3 linked regions of the Arabidopsis thaliana genome follow. The protein of the gene in region 1 purifies or fractionates together with the protein of each later gene. This does not show direct contact. Each region holds a gene or a part of one and is shown in the gene's direction. Other genes may lie near its edges. The genes, in order: RPT2b, E1 ALPHA and LTA2.

Region 1 (3,754 bases):
CAAAGGTTTATCAAGAGTCGATAGAATCTGCGGCATTGACATTCCCCCGGAAACAACAATCTCTGCAGATGAAGAATGAGTATACAGTGTTCAGTATCTTTCCACAAAATAATTTGAATGCTATATAACAAACGATAAATGTATCTAGTATAGACAATTAGATTCTGAAATCTCACCAATTCCTTCCCGGACAGAGAGGTTTGGCCTGATAACGTCATTACTGTTGACAAGTAGTATATCTCCAATGTAAAGGTGGTTCGTGGGAACGTATACACAGCAAAGTTCCTCCTCGGTTGGGTAGTTCTGCAAGAACGAATAGCATTATTACATTGGGTAAAAAGATTACGAAATTATGGTAAACCATATAACTCGAAATTGTTTGTATCCTCAAGGAGACGTTCTGGAAAGAATAACAAAATCCTTGAGCAAAGTATTTTCACTCACCTGGAGAACAACAGTTGATGTAATGAAGCCAAATGCATATTCACCTACACGGGGATGCCTGATGATTGCAACTTCCTTGAAAGCTTGTGTATTTTGATCTGTGATGAGAAATGGATAAGAACAAGATGAGATAGGAGATCAACTTAATGTTGAGAAGCAAAACAAGATTTTTATAAGCAAGCTAGACCAGGCGATATGGCAGTGCTGATTTGCTTGGAGGCGTTGTAGATGTGACGAACAAATGGCATCCGCTTGATAAACCACTCTCCCAAGTTCAGAACCGATGCCCCCAACCACGAAGACATGAACACCCCAACCAAGAAGATGAATGCAATGGAAGTCAAAAAACCGAAACCTACAAAACAATAATCAAACTCATTGTGGGAAACCGATATCAAGTTGTTAATAGGATAAAGAGGGGCCATTCAAATTCTTACCAAATATGTTGATTCCAAGTAGTGCATATATTGGAGAGAAGAATCCATCGACAAAGTGAATAAACCACCATGTTGTATAGAAAGTAACTGCAATAGGAAGTAGGATAACACTGCAAAAAGCAATGGAGACTTAAAACTAATCTGTGGAAGTTTTCATCAAATGCCAAAATTTCAACTCTTCCTTACCAGCCTGTCATGAACTTCTTTGACGCCCAACCCCTAATGAACAAGCTTAAAGTCTGCAGAAAAGAGCTAAAGCATCAGGCCACAATGCTCTATAAGTTATACATGCTTGAAAACATGAATGAGCATAATACAAAGACTCAAGAATCTGAATGATTCCAACCACAACAACTTGGAATGCAAATTCATACTCTACTCAATCACAACTACCAAACTTATCTAAGCAAGTGTTCTTGTGATATACTGAATCTAGGGCAAAACAAGTTCCAAGATTTTGAACTAAGGGGAGACAGAATCGACCAAATCTATGAATAACTATCATCCAATTCTACTGTTAGTTTCGCATGAATCTTGAAATGAGAAAACGAAGAACACGTTTTTAGATCAGGTGACAAAAACTAGACCTCGTGGCCGGATTGATGCGAAGAAGAAGCAGAGGAAGAAGAAGAAGGCTTCGAAGAAGAACCATCGTCTTTGTCGCCGAAATCAGCGACGGGAATCAGAAGCTCTCGATCTCTTTCTCGATTGGCCATAACAATTGTCGTGTAAAGAGAGATAAAACCCTAAACCTAGAAACTCACCGAGAGTTCGAAGATTGTAAATCACAATCTAGAAGCTAGTTGCGAAACAGAAGAACCACCTCGAAGATCCTGAGATTTGATGATGATGATTGTGATGATGATGAATGACAGATAGAGAAGACGATGAAATTGATTTTTGATTCGATTTCCCCAAATGGCAAAAGAAAAGTTCCTTACCTGTACCGATTGACCGTACCAACTACCAAACCAACGAATTGACTTTTACAAAACTTAAACCGAAATTAAAGATAATTAAACCGAGTTATTGAACTAAACCAGATAATAGCTTAGGTTGAATCAGTTTTAAAAAAATTTGCGATACCTAAGGCCCACTAAGTTTTTCACATCGTAAAAAGGCCTAAAATAATAAGCCCACTTTAATCATCTCCTCCCGTTATCAGATTAAAAGATTTGTTTCTCCGAGAGCAAGAAACCTCAGAGAGACGAAGCACAATGGGTCAAGGACCTTCCGGCGGATTGAATCGGCAAGGAGATCGGAAACCAGATGGTGGAGAGAAGAAGGAGAAGAAGTTCGAACCAGCCGCACCACCTGCTCGTGTAGGGAGGAAGCAACGGAAGCAGAAAGGACCTGAAGCGGCGGCGAGATTGCCGACGGTGACTCCTTCTACTAAATGTAAGCTTCGATTGCTGAAATTGGAGCGAATCAAGGACTATTTGCTTATGGAGGAAGAGTTCGTAGCGAATCAGGAGAGATTGAAACCTCAGGAAGAGAAAGCTGAGGAAGATAGATCTAAAGTTGATGATCTTCGTGGTACACCTATGAGTGTTGGCAATCTTGAAGAGCTTATTGATGAGAATCACGCCATTGTTTCTTCTTCGGTTGGTCCTGAGTACTACGTTGGCATTTTGTCTTTCGTTGATAAGGATCAGCTTGAACCTGGCTGCTCTATTTTGATGCATAACAAGGTATTGAGTTTTACAATGCTCTTCCATGGAAACGTTGAACCAATTCTTCTATGTGATATTTTTTATTATTTTTGTGATAGGTACTCTCTGTTGTTGGGATTCTTCAAGATGAAGTGGATCCAATGGTGTCTGTGATGAAAGTGGAGAAGGCTCCTTTGGAGTCATATGCTGACATTGGAGGTTTAGAAGCTCAGATTCAGGAGATTAAGGAAGCTGTTGAGTTACCTTTAACACATCCCGAGCTGTATGAAGATATTGGAATTAAGCCACCAAAAGGTGTGATCTTGTATGGTGAGCCAGGCACTGGGAAGACATTGCTTGCTAAGGTTCGTCTTTTAGCCTATAGTGTATCCATTATATAATAAGCTTTCTAGTTGTTAATTGCTTAATACAGCACATAATGGTACTTCCCAAGTATGATTGGTTTTATGTCAAGTCATGCATGCAAAATTTTCTGTCTTTTATCAATCTTCACTAGAAAGATGAATTAGTCAGGACAGTGGCTTCTTTGGTTTGATCACCTAGAATTGAGATATTAGATCATAGTACTTGTGTAGATAGAGGAAGATTTTCAGAGTCACGTGGATTGATTTAATGTCTTCGTTTTCTTTTTGTCTATGTCGCAAGCATGGATTGTTGCAGTGTGCCTCTTTTTAATGTGTCTCTTATGCTTGTTAAATTCGGAACTGTTGGAGATGAGCAAGTGTTATTTCTTGTTATTCTTTCAGGCAGTGGCAAATTCTACTTCAGCTACTTTCTTGCGTGTTGTCGGTAGTGAACTGATTCAGAAGTATTTAGGAGATGGTCCCAAGCTTGTGAGGGAACTTTTCAGGGTTGCTGATGACCTTTCTCCTTCTATTGTTTTCATAGACGAGATTGATGCTGTTGGCACCAAGCGGTATGCCTAAATACAACATAAACATGATCCATTGATAAACAATGTTCTTGATTTTGCTCAAGAGATGGTATCTAATATGTGATATAAAATGGTGGTTGAAACAGGTATGACGCAAACTCAGGTGGGGAACGTGAAATCCAAAGAACCATGTTGGAACTACTGAACCAGCTTGATGGGTTTGATTCAAGAGGAGATGTTAAGGTTATTCTCGCGACAAACAGGATCGAGAGTCTTGACCCGGCACTTCTTAGACCAGGCCGGATCGACAGGAAAATCGAATTCCC
Region 2 (3,754 bases), on another chromosome or scaffold:
TGATTCACTCTATGTGCTTTTTAGGCTTCATCAAGTAAGTGCTACGAAACAACCTTCTCATGTTCCTCAAATGTCAATTGTCTCAGTCCAAACCGCTAATTCTGCTGATTTTCCAGATGTTGTACGAGAGAATACAATCAGCAAAGATACATTCAGAGAGGAAATGGAAAGCTCCAGATAGCACATCTACTGATTCTTATACCAGGTGGTTTATTTTCTAAGCATCATTGGTACTTTTTAATTGAAAAAATATTATTTCCTAACTGATATTTGAAAGCTTAGGTTCATGGAAGCCCTTTACAATTTACTTGATGGCTCTAGCGACAATACAAAGTTTGAAGATGAATGTCGAGCTATTATCGGAGCACAATCATATGTTCTCTTCACATTGGACAAGCTAGTTCAAAAGTTTGTTAAGCATGTAAGCTTCCATTTTACCTTGTTATCGTCTTGACTCTGCTTCTGTTCTCTCTCCTTTATTTTTGTTTGCTCCGCACTAATCATTTAAGTGGCTTGGACATGCTTCAGCTTCACGCAGTCGCAGCTGATGAGACAGACACCAAGCTTCTGCAGCTATATGCATACGAGAACTACAGAAAACCAGGAAGATTCTTTGATATAGTGTACCATGAGAATGCTCGAGCCCTTCTCCATGATCAGAACATATACAGGATTGAATATGTATGCTTCTCTTGATATGTGTGGATACCTGTTTATATGTTCCCATATACTAATCTGTATTTGCAAATTTCTGTGCAGTCATCTGCCCAAACCCGTCTCGGAATTCAACTTATGAACAGCTGGAATGATCAGCCTGAAGTTACAGCTGTAACAGTGGAACCAGGTTTTGCTAATTATCTGCAGAATGACTTTCTTTCGTTTGTCAGTGATGAAGAGAAACCCGGACTATTTCTGAAAAGGTGAATGAAGCAATGATTAGAGCATAACCTTTTTTCGTCTTCAGTTGTGGTAGTACAGTTAGTAATCACCTTAGCATACTCTTTTCAGGAACAAGGCAAAATTAAGTGGTCCGGGTGAAGAATCTCTAGGGATGTCACGTGCCTTGGAAGGATTGAACATTATCAATGAGGTTGAATGTAAGATAGCTTGCAGTTCTTTCAAGGTAAAATACTTTCTTGTGAATCTCTTGCACTGATAATCTTTTCTCTTTTCACATGTATATATGATTGATGAGAGTTTACAATCTTCATTAGGTCAAGTATGAACCACACACAGCAGATCTTTTATATAGAAGAAAGCAGAAGAAAGCAACACTGAATCCAACTGGACCTGAAAATGTTAAAACCTCTGATAGTAGTGAACTCTCGAGAAAGAAACGAATATCGCGCTTTCACATGAGTCTTAACCGCAGACTTGTCGCCTTGCCTTAACTCAAGAACGCCGTAAGTAACCCTCTTGTCTTTTATTTGCCTGTGGTGATCAATACTGCAAATCATCAATAATCTCTAACTCACGATAAATTGTGCAGGTGTGAAGTTCTTTGCTGAGAATGAGATATGCAAGAATGAGTAGTAGTAGAGAGAGACTAGAGAATAACTGTCTTTGACAAAGATTCTTGCATCATTTTAGGCTCAAAGAGATTCACATGGCAACAACCATAGTTTTTATCTTCTACAGTCTACACTGCAGCTGGAGCCGCCAGTTTTGCTGTATAGTGTTAGAATATCTTTTTTTTTTTTAAGGATGATGCTAAAATTGGATATTTTTAATTCATTCATTGAACAATTATTGAATTTTCCTTCTAATGTTAAATTCTCTTTCAAATTAATAATCTCTTTAATCACATGTTTTATTTATTTATTTTGGTTTATCCATTTGGTTATTTATCTTTAATCACATTTGAGTTTGATTATATAATATGATTTTAAGAGAATATGAATATATATTGACTCTTTTATCACAGGTGTCACGTGACTCACGTGAGGCTGTGTACGGAAAACCTTCTTATCCTCTCAGAGTCTCTTATATTAGGATCGCTATCTACTGCTTCACTGAAATTGTCCTCTCAGTTCCTACGCGAAGTTTTCAACAGATTCGCCGGAGAATCTTCGAATCAACGGCGGAGAAATGGCTCTATCACGCCTCTCATCACGATCCAACATCATCACTCGTCCCTTCTCCGCCGCCTTCAGCCGATTAATCTCAACGGACACAACTCCGATCACAATCGAGACTTCGCTTCCTTTCACAGCTCACTTATGTGATCCACCGTCACGCTCCGTCGAATCATCGAGTCAAGAGCTTCTCGATTTCTTCAGAACCATGGCGTTGATGCGACGTATGGAAATCGCAGCCGATTCGCTTTACAAAGCGAAGCTAATCCGAGGGTTTTGTCATCTCTACGACGGCCAAGAAGCTGTAGCTATAGGCATGGAAGCTGCGATTACAAAGAAAGACGCGATTATTACTGCTTATCGTGATCACTGTATTTTCTTAGGTCGTGGTGGTTCGCTTCATGAGGTTTTCTCAGAGCTTATGGGAAGACAAGCTGGTTGTTCTAAAGGGAAAGGTGGATCTATGCACTTCTATAAGAAGGAATCGTCGTTTTACGGTGGTCATGGGATTGTTGGTGCTCAGGTTCCATTAGGTTGTGGTATTGCTTTTGCTCAGAAGTATAACAAGGAAGAGGCTGTCACATTTGCTTTGTATGGTGATGGTGCTGCGAATCAGGGACAGTTGTTTGAAGCTTTGAATATTTCTGCTCTTTGGGATTTGCCTGCAATTTTGGTCTGCGAGAACAATCACTGTAAGCATTTTTGCTTCTTTCTTTCTTTCTTTCTTTCTTTGTAGGTTTGTTTTGTCGTAGTATCTGATTGAATTTGATCTGTGCAGATGGAATGGGAACTGCTGAATGGAGAGCCGCTAAGAGTCCATCTTACTACAAGCGTGGTGATTATGTTCCTGGACTCAAGGTCAGCTTTTGAATCTTATTTGTAACAAGGATTGATGTGTGAGGCTTGTTAAGATGAGAAAGGGAAGTTTTGATTGGGTAGATGGATTAGTGTCATTTCCTGAATGATATAAGTTTCTTAGTTTCCATATAGAAACAGGTAGAATGCAAGTCTTAAGTAACTTACTACTACTCAGCTTTCATTTATAACCTCTCAGTTTAGAGATGAATGTGACTGTCTTATGGATAATGATTGTCATGAATCTTCTATTGTTAACAGAGATATGGTGTGCATCATTACCTTGTTCTTATTAGGTTTCTTGTAACCTGCATCAAGTTAGCAACTTTCTTTTGAGTTTGACCGGTTGCTGGTTTGTATGGATAAACAGGTAGATGGTATGGATGCATTTGCTGTCAAACAAGCTTGCAAATTTGCTAAGCAGCATGCGTTGGAGAAGGGGCCAATAGTAAGTTTGTATTTTAGTATTATCAGACGTTTTGTTTTTTTCCCCTTTGGTCCTTACTCATCTGGCGCATTTTGTAAATTTGCTATGAGCAATATCTAGCTGTCCTGTAGGACGTGAAGTATTAATCTTTCCTTTTGCATTTTTTAGTTGATATTTACTTCCCTTCAGTTCCTCTTTTTGGACACTGCATTCCAGTAGCTGAATATTGATGGGGTGGCTGGTTCTTTCTGTGCAGTTGCAATAGAAATTACGCTGTATCAGTGTATATCAAAGAAGTGTGTTTTTGATATCGCTGTTGTTCATATAAGTAGTAGCTTTGGTTTCCAATTTATTTTCCTGTGTTTATTCTTTCCTATCATATGGATTACAGAAGCAT
Region 3 (3,754 bases), on another chromosome or scaffold:
GTCGGCAGATTCCACATTTCCAATCTCCGAGACCAAGATGAAAAATGCGAGAAATGCGATGATCATGGCAGTTGATGCTTATAACTCGTGGTAGATATATACAATCCTTGTGGAACATCAAATTACATTCAAGACATACATAAGGATTACGCTTACCTTCTACGCTACATGCATTACAAGTAAATGTGACCACTCTCGGCAAAAGAGTAAGCATATGCATATGGTTTTTTGGGTGATAAATACTTGATGGTGGTGGATCTTTAAGACATTTGAGATCCATGTTGATGTTGCATATCAAACAATGAAAAAAATCATCAAGAAGATAATCTCTACAAAAATGACAATGGTCACCTGCATAGCCCAATGCCTCGAGTGTGTAGATTTTGAGAGAATGTTTGCATGGAGATGGATGCAGAAGTGAGCGCTTGATGCATTCCTTATGCCCCCAAAAATAGCACTTATCGCAGAAATAGCCAAAACCACCTTTCTTTTTGCACAAAATGCAAGAAAATCTGTCCAATTTCTCATATGCTAAAGGATGATCGTGAAAAGGAAACTTCTTTTCGGTCATGGTGAGTGTGTGGGGATTGGGTGAATCTAGAAAGCATAAATTTCAATCAAAAAAAGAAAAGAAAAGAAAGAAGAAAGCTTCACTTGAATATTTCTCTTGTAAGGCCTCTTCATTAGTGATCCTCATTGTCATTGATAGTCGTAGGCATTTTTGTTGTTCACTTGTGTTGTTGAAGTCTTCCCCTCCATTTAAAAATATGAGTAAAATTGGGCTGTTATTTTAGTTGTGGTAACCAACTCACATTTAGAATTTCAGAAAGCTAAGATTTCAATAATGATGTGTATTGTAAAAGGTTTATATACTCGGCTCTCCCAAATGTTCTAAACAATAGTTTGGGTTTCGTTTTTCCCAATTACCAAACAAAATTTTAGATATATGTCCATTTCGGAACGAGACCTTGTCTTTACCGTATTCGTCTCGGGTTTCTAGTCCCATATCCGCTCGTATAATTAATTGTTTTGAGACAATGTAATGCATTGAATATATATCAACTTTTATATATACTAGGTGATCATCCGCACTGCGCTACAGAGTTTTCTATATATTTGTACATACAAACAAACGTGTTGGTCATTATATGCCATTGTTTCTTCTAATAGTTCTCACAAATGTTTAGGCATTGGAGGATAGAAGAACAAACGAATTAGAGATATCTAACACAACAATGGTGTGGTCATCTGATCAGGTTGATTAGAATATTCATGTGGCTGTTCATACGGTAGCTCGTGCTCGCTTCCTTCTTCTCCTCCATGGCCATTGGTGAGATCTTCAACTTCGAGAATCTCAACCCTCCGTTTCATCTTCCTTTGCAGTTTTAATGCAACATCGGATGGTCGAAACCGTCCGCAAAGGATTACTTGACGTTCCTTTTTGTTGATCATGTGTGTATCAACTTCTTCATAAAAAAGTATCCAAAACATGTGTTAGTATTGAATTTTCTATAAATCCACCACGACTAAACCTACATAAAATGGTGCATATAGTAACATCGATAAAATTTAACGATGTCTTTCTAAAATTTTCAGATTTTCCACTCAAAAAATCCTCCTTGAACTTTAAATCTTATTTTCATAACATCCTTCTTTGCTCATTTCATCCACATATTATTTTATATAACCAATATAAACCAACCTTTCATATTGATGATAATCCTCCTAGCTTTTCTACAACAAGCATTGCAATCCAAGTTAATCCTCATCACAACACAACATTGCTTCTGCATTTCACCACCCCAAAAAAAAAAAAAATTATCACAAATCCAAGAAAATTATTGTTCAAACAAATAAAAGAAAACACAAAACCTTTTCCGACATGAGACGAAAGAGCAATATTGTATGATATGTTTTTGGTTAAGAAAACAAAAGTATACTTATAAATTAAGATTTTGGAATCTGATTCTCTAACTTAGGTAGAGCAGAGAAGATATATAAGAAAACTGGTTTTGTTATGTTACCTAATATCCATTGAGAAGCATCTAAATTTTCTTTGTTTCTAGATGGTTTAACCTAAACCGAAGTTTCAGATAAATTAATCCGGTTTAATTATATATCCGGTTATTAAACTGGTAACTGATACAAATGTAGGCGAAGACGCTCAACGAACTTCAACCTCGTCTTCTCCGTCCACTTCACTCTCTCTAAACTCTCTCTCAGATCTCTCTCTCTCTGTGATTCAACAATGGCGGTTTCTTCTTCTTCGTTTCTATCGACAGCTTCACTAACCAATTCCAAATCCAACATTTCATTCGCTTCCTCAGTATCCCCATCCCTCCGCAGCGTCGTTTTCCGCTCCACGACTCCGGCGACTTCTCACCGTCGTTCAATGACGGTCCGATCTAAGATTCGTGAAATTTTCATGCCGGCGTTATCATCAACCATGACGGAAGGCAAAATCGTGTCATGGATCAAAACAGAAGGCGAGAAACTCGCCAAGGGAGAGAGTGTTGTGGTTGTTGAATCTGATAAAGCCGATATGGATGTAGAAACGTTTTACGATGGTTATCTTGCTGCGATTGTCGTCGGAGAAGGTGAAACAGCTCCGGTTGGTGCTGCGATTGGATTGTTAGCTGAGACTGAAGCTGAGATCGAAGAAGCTAAGAGTAAAGCCGCTTCGAAATCTTCTTCTTCTGTGGCTGAGGCTGTCGTTCCATCTCCTCCTCCGGTTACTTCTTCTCCTGCTCCGGCGATTGCTCAACCGGCTCCGGTGACGGCAGTATCAGATGGTCCGAGGAAGACTGTTGCGACGCCGTATGCTAAGAAGCTTGCTAAACAACACAAGGTTGATATTGAATCCGTTGCTGGAACTGGACCATTCGGTAGGATTACGGCTTCTGATGTGGAGACGGCGGCTGGAATTGCTCCGTCCAAATCCTCCATCGCACCACCGCCTCCTCCTCCACCTCCGGTGACGGCTAAAGCAACCACCACTAATTTGCCTCCTCTGTTACCTGATTCAAGCATTGTTCCTTTCACAGCAATGCAATCTGCAGTATCTAAGAACATGATTGAGAGTCTCTCTGTTCCTACATTCCGTGTTGGTTATCCTGTGAACACTGACGCTCTTGATGCACTTTACGAGAAGGTGAAATTGAATTGAATGAAACAGATGAAGCTGATGTTGTATTGAATGATGAAGCTGATGTTAAATCACTGCTTTTGTTTACAGGTGAAGCCAAAGGGTGTAACAATGACAGCTTTATTAGCTAAAGCTGCAGGGATGGCCTTGGCTCAGCATCCTGTGGTGAACGCTAGCTGCAAAGACGGGAAGAGTTTTAGTTACAATAGTAGCATTAACATTGCAGTGGCGGTTGCTATCAATGGTGGCCTGATTACGCCTGTTCTACAAGATGCAGATAAGGTAAGCATAAGCAATAAAGTTGTAGAAAATAGCTAGCGTGTGAGTGAATTAACACACACACTTGGTATTATTAGGCTGGTTTCTTTAACTGAATGTGTGAGTCGTGTTGGTTGTTTTGATAGTTGGATTTGTACTTGTTATCTCAAAAATGGAAAGAGCTGGTGGGGAAAGCTAGAAGCAAGCAACTTCAACCCCATGAATACAACTCTGGTACTATTCTTAACGAATTGTTTAGATGACAAACATGTGAAGTGTGTTTAAGGATTTTGATTTAAGGGATATATCTATGGAATGCAGGAACTTTTACTTTATCGAATCTCGGTATGT

What was found.
Region 2: the proteins of RPT2b (region 1) and E1 ALPHA purify together in Arabidopsis thaliana (affinity purification with western blotting, with the first as the bait; one study listed by BioGRID). This does not show direct contact.
Region 3: the proteins of RPT2b (region 1) and LTA2 purify together in Arabidopsis thaliana (affinity purification with western blotting, with the first as the bait; one study listed by BioGRID). This does not show direct contact.

The regions. Positions count from the first base shown.
Region 1 is NC_003071.7:8,690,638-8,694,391, forward strand, and holds the start of RPT2b (AAA-type ATPase family protein), read left to right. Parts: upstream 1-1,929; 5' UTR 1,930-2,098; coding exon 2,099-2,572; intron 2,573-2,652; coding exon 2,653-2,898; intron 2,899-3,300; coding exon 3,301-3,470; intron 3,471-3,574; coding exon 3,575-3,754. Other genes in the region: LCV1 (uncharacterized protein), read right to left, coding at 1-62, 177-303, 445-542, 632-799, 882-991, 1,068-1,120, 1,469-1,597. UniProt on the Arabidopsis thaliana protein: The 26S protease is involved in the ATP-dependent degradation of ubiquitinated proteins. The regulatory (or ATPase) complex confers ATP dependency and substrate specificity to the 26S complex. Acts redundantly with RPT2A in the regulation of gametogenesis.
Region 2 is NC_003070.9:22,049,280-22,053,033, forward strand, and holds the start of E1 ALPHA (pyruvate dehydrogenase complex E1 alpha subunit), read left to right. Parts: upstream 1-1,853; 5' UTR 1,854-2,088; coding exon 2,089-2,767; intron 2,768-2,853; coding exon 2,854-2,933; intron 2,934-3,300; coding exon 3,301-3,378; intron 3,379-3,754. Other genes in the region: SNL5 (SIN3-like 5), read left to right, coding at 1-34, 117-205, 283-421, 529-681, 760-920, 1,009-1,123, 1,215-1,391. UniProt on the Arabidopsis thaliana protein: The pyruvate dehydrogenase complex catalyzes the overall conversion of pyruvate to acetyl-CoA and CO(2).
Region 3 is NC_003074.8:9,458,384-9,462,137, forward strand, and holds the start of LTA2 (2-oxoacid dehydrogenases acyltransferase family protein), read left to right. Parts: upstream 1-2,049; 5' UTR 2,050-2,248; coding exon 2,249-3,151; intron 3,152-3,235; coding exon 3,236-3,427; intron 3,428-3,549; coding exon 3,550-3,637; intron 3,638-3,724; coding exon 3,725-3,754. Other genes in the region: AT3G25850 (Cysteine/Histidine-rich C1 domain family protein), read right to left, coding at 1-571; AT3G25855 (Copper transport protein family), read right to left, coding at 1,225-1,466, 1,703-1,787, 1,873-1,884. UniProt on the Arabidopsis thaliana protein: The pyruvate dehydrogenase complex catalyzes the overall conversion of pyruvate to acetyl-CoA and CO(2).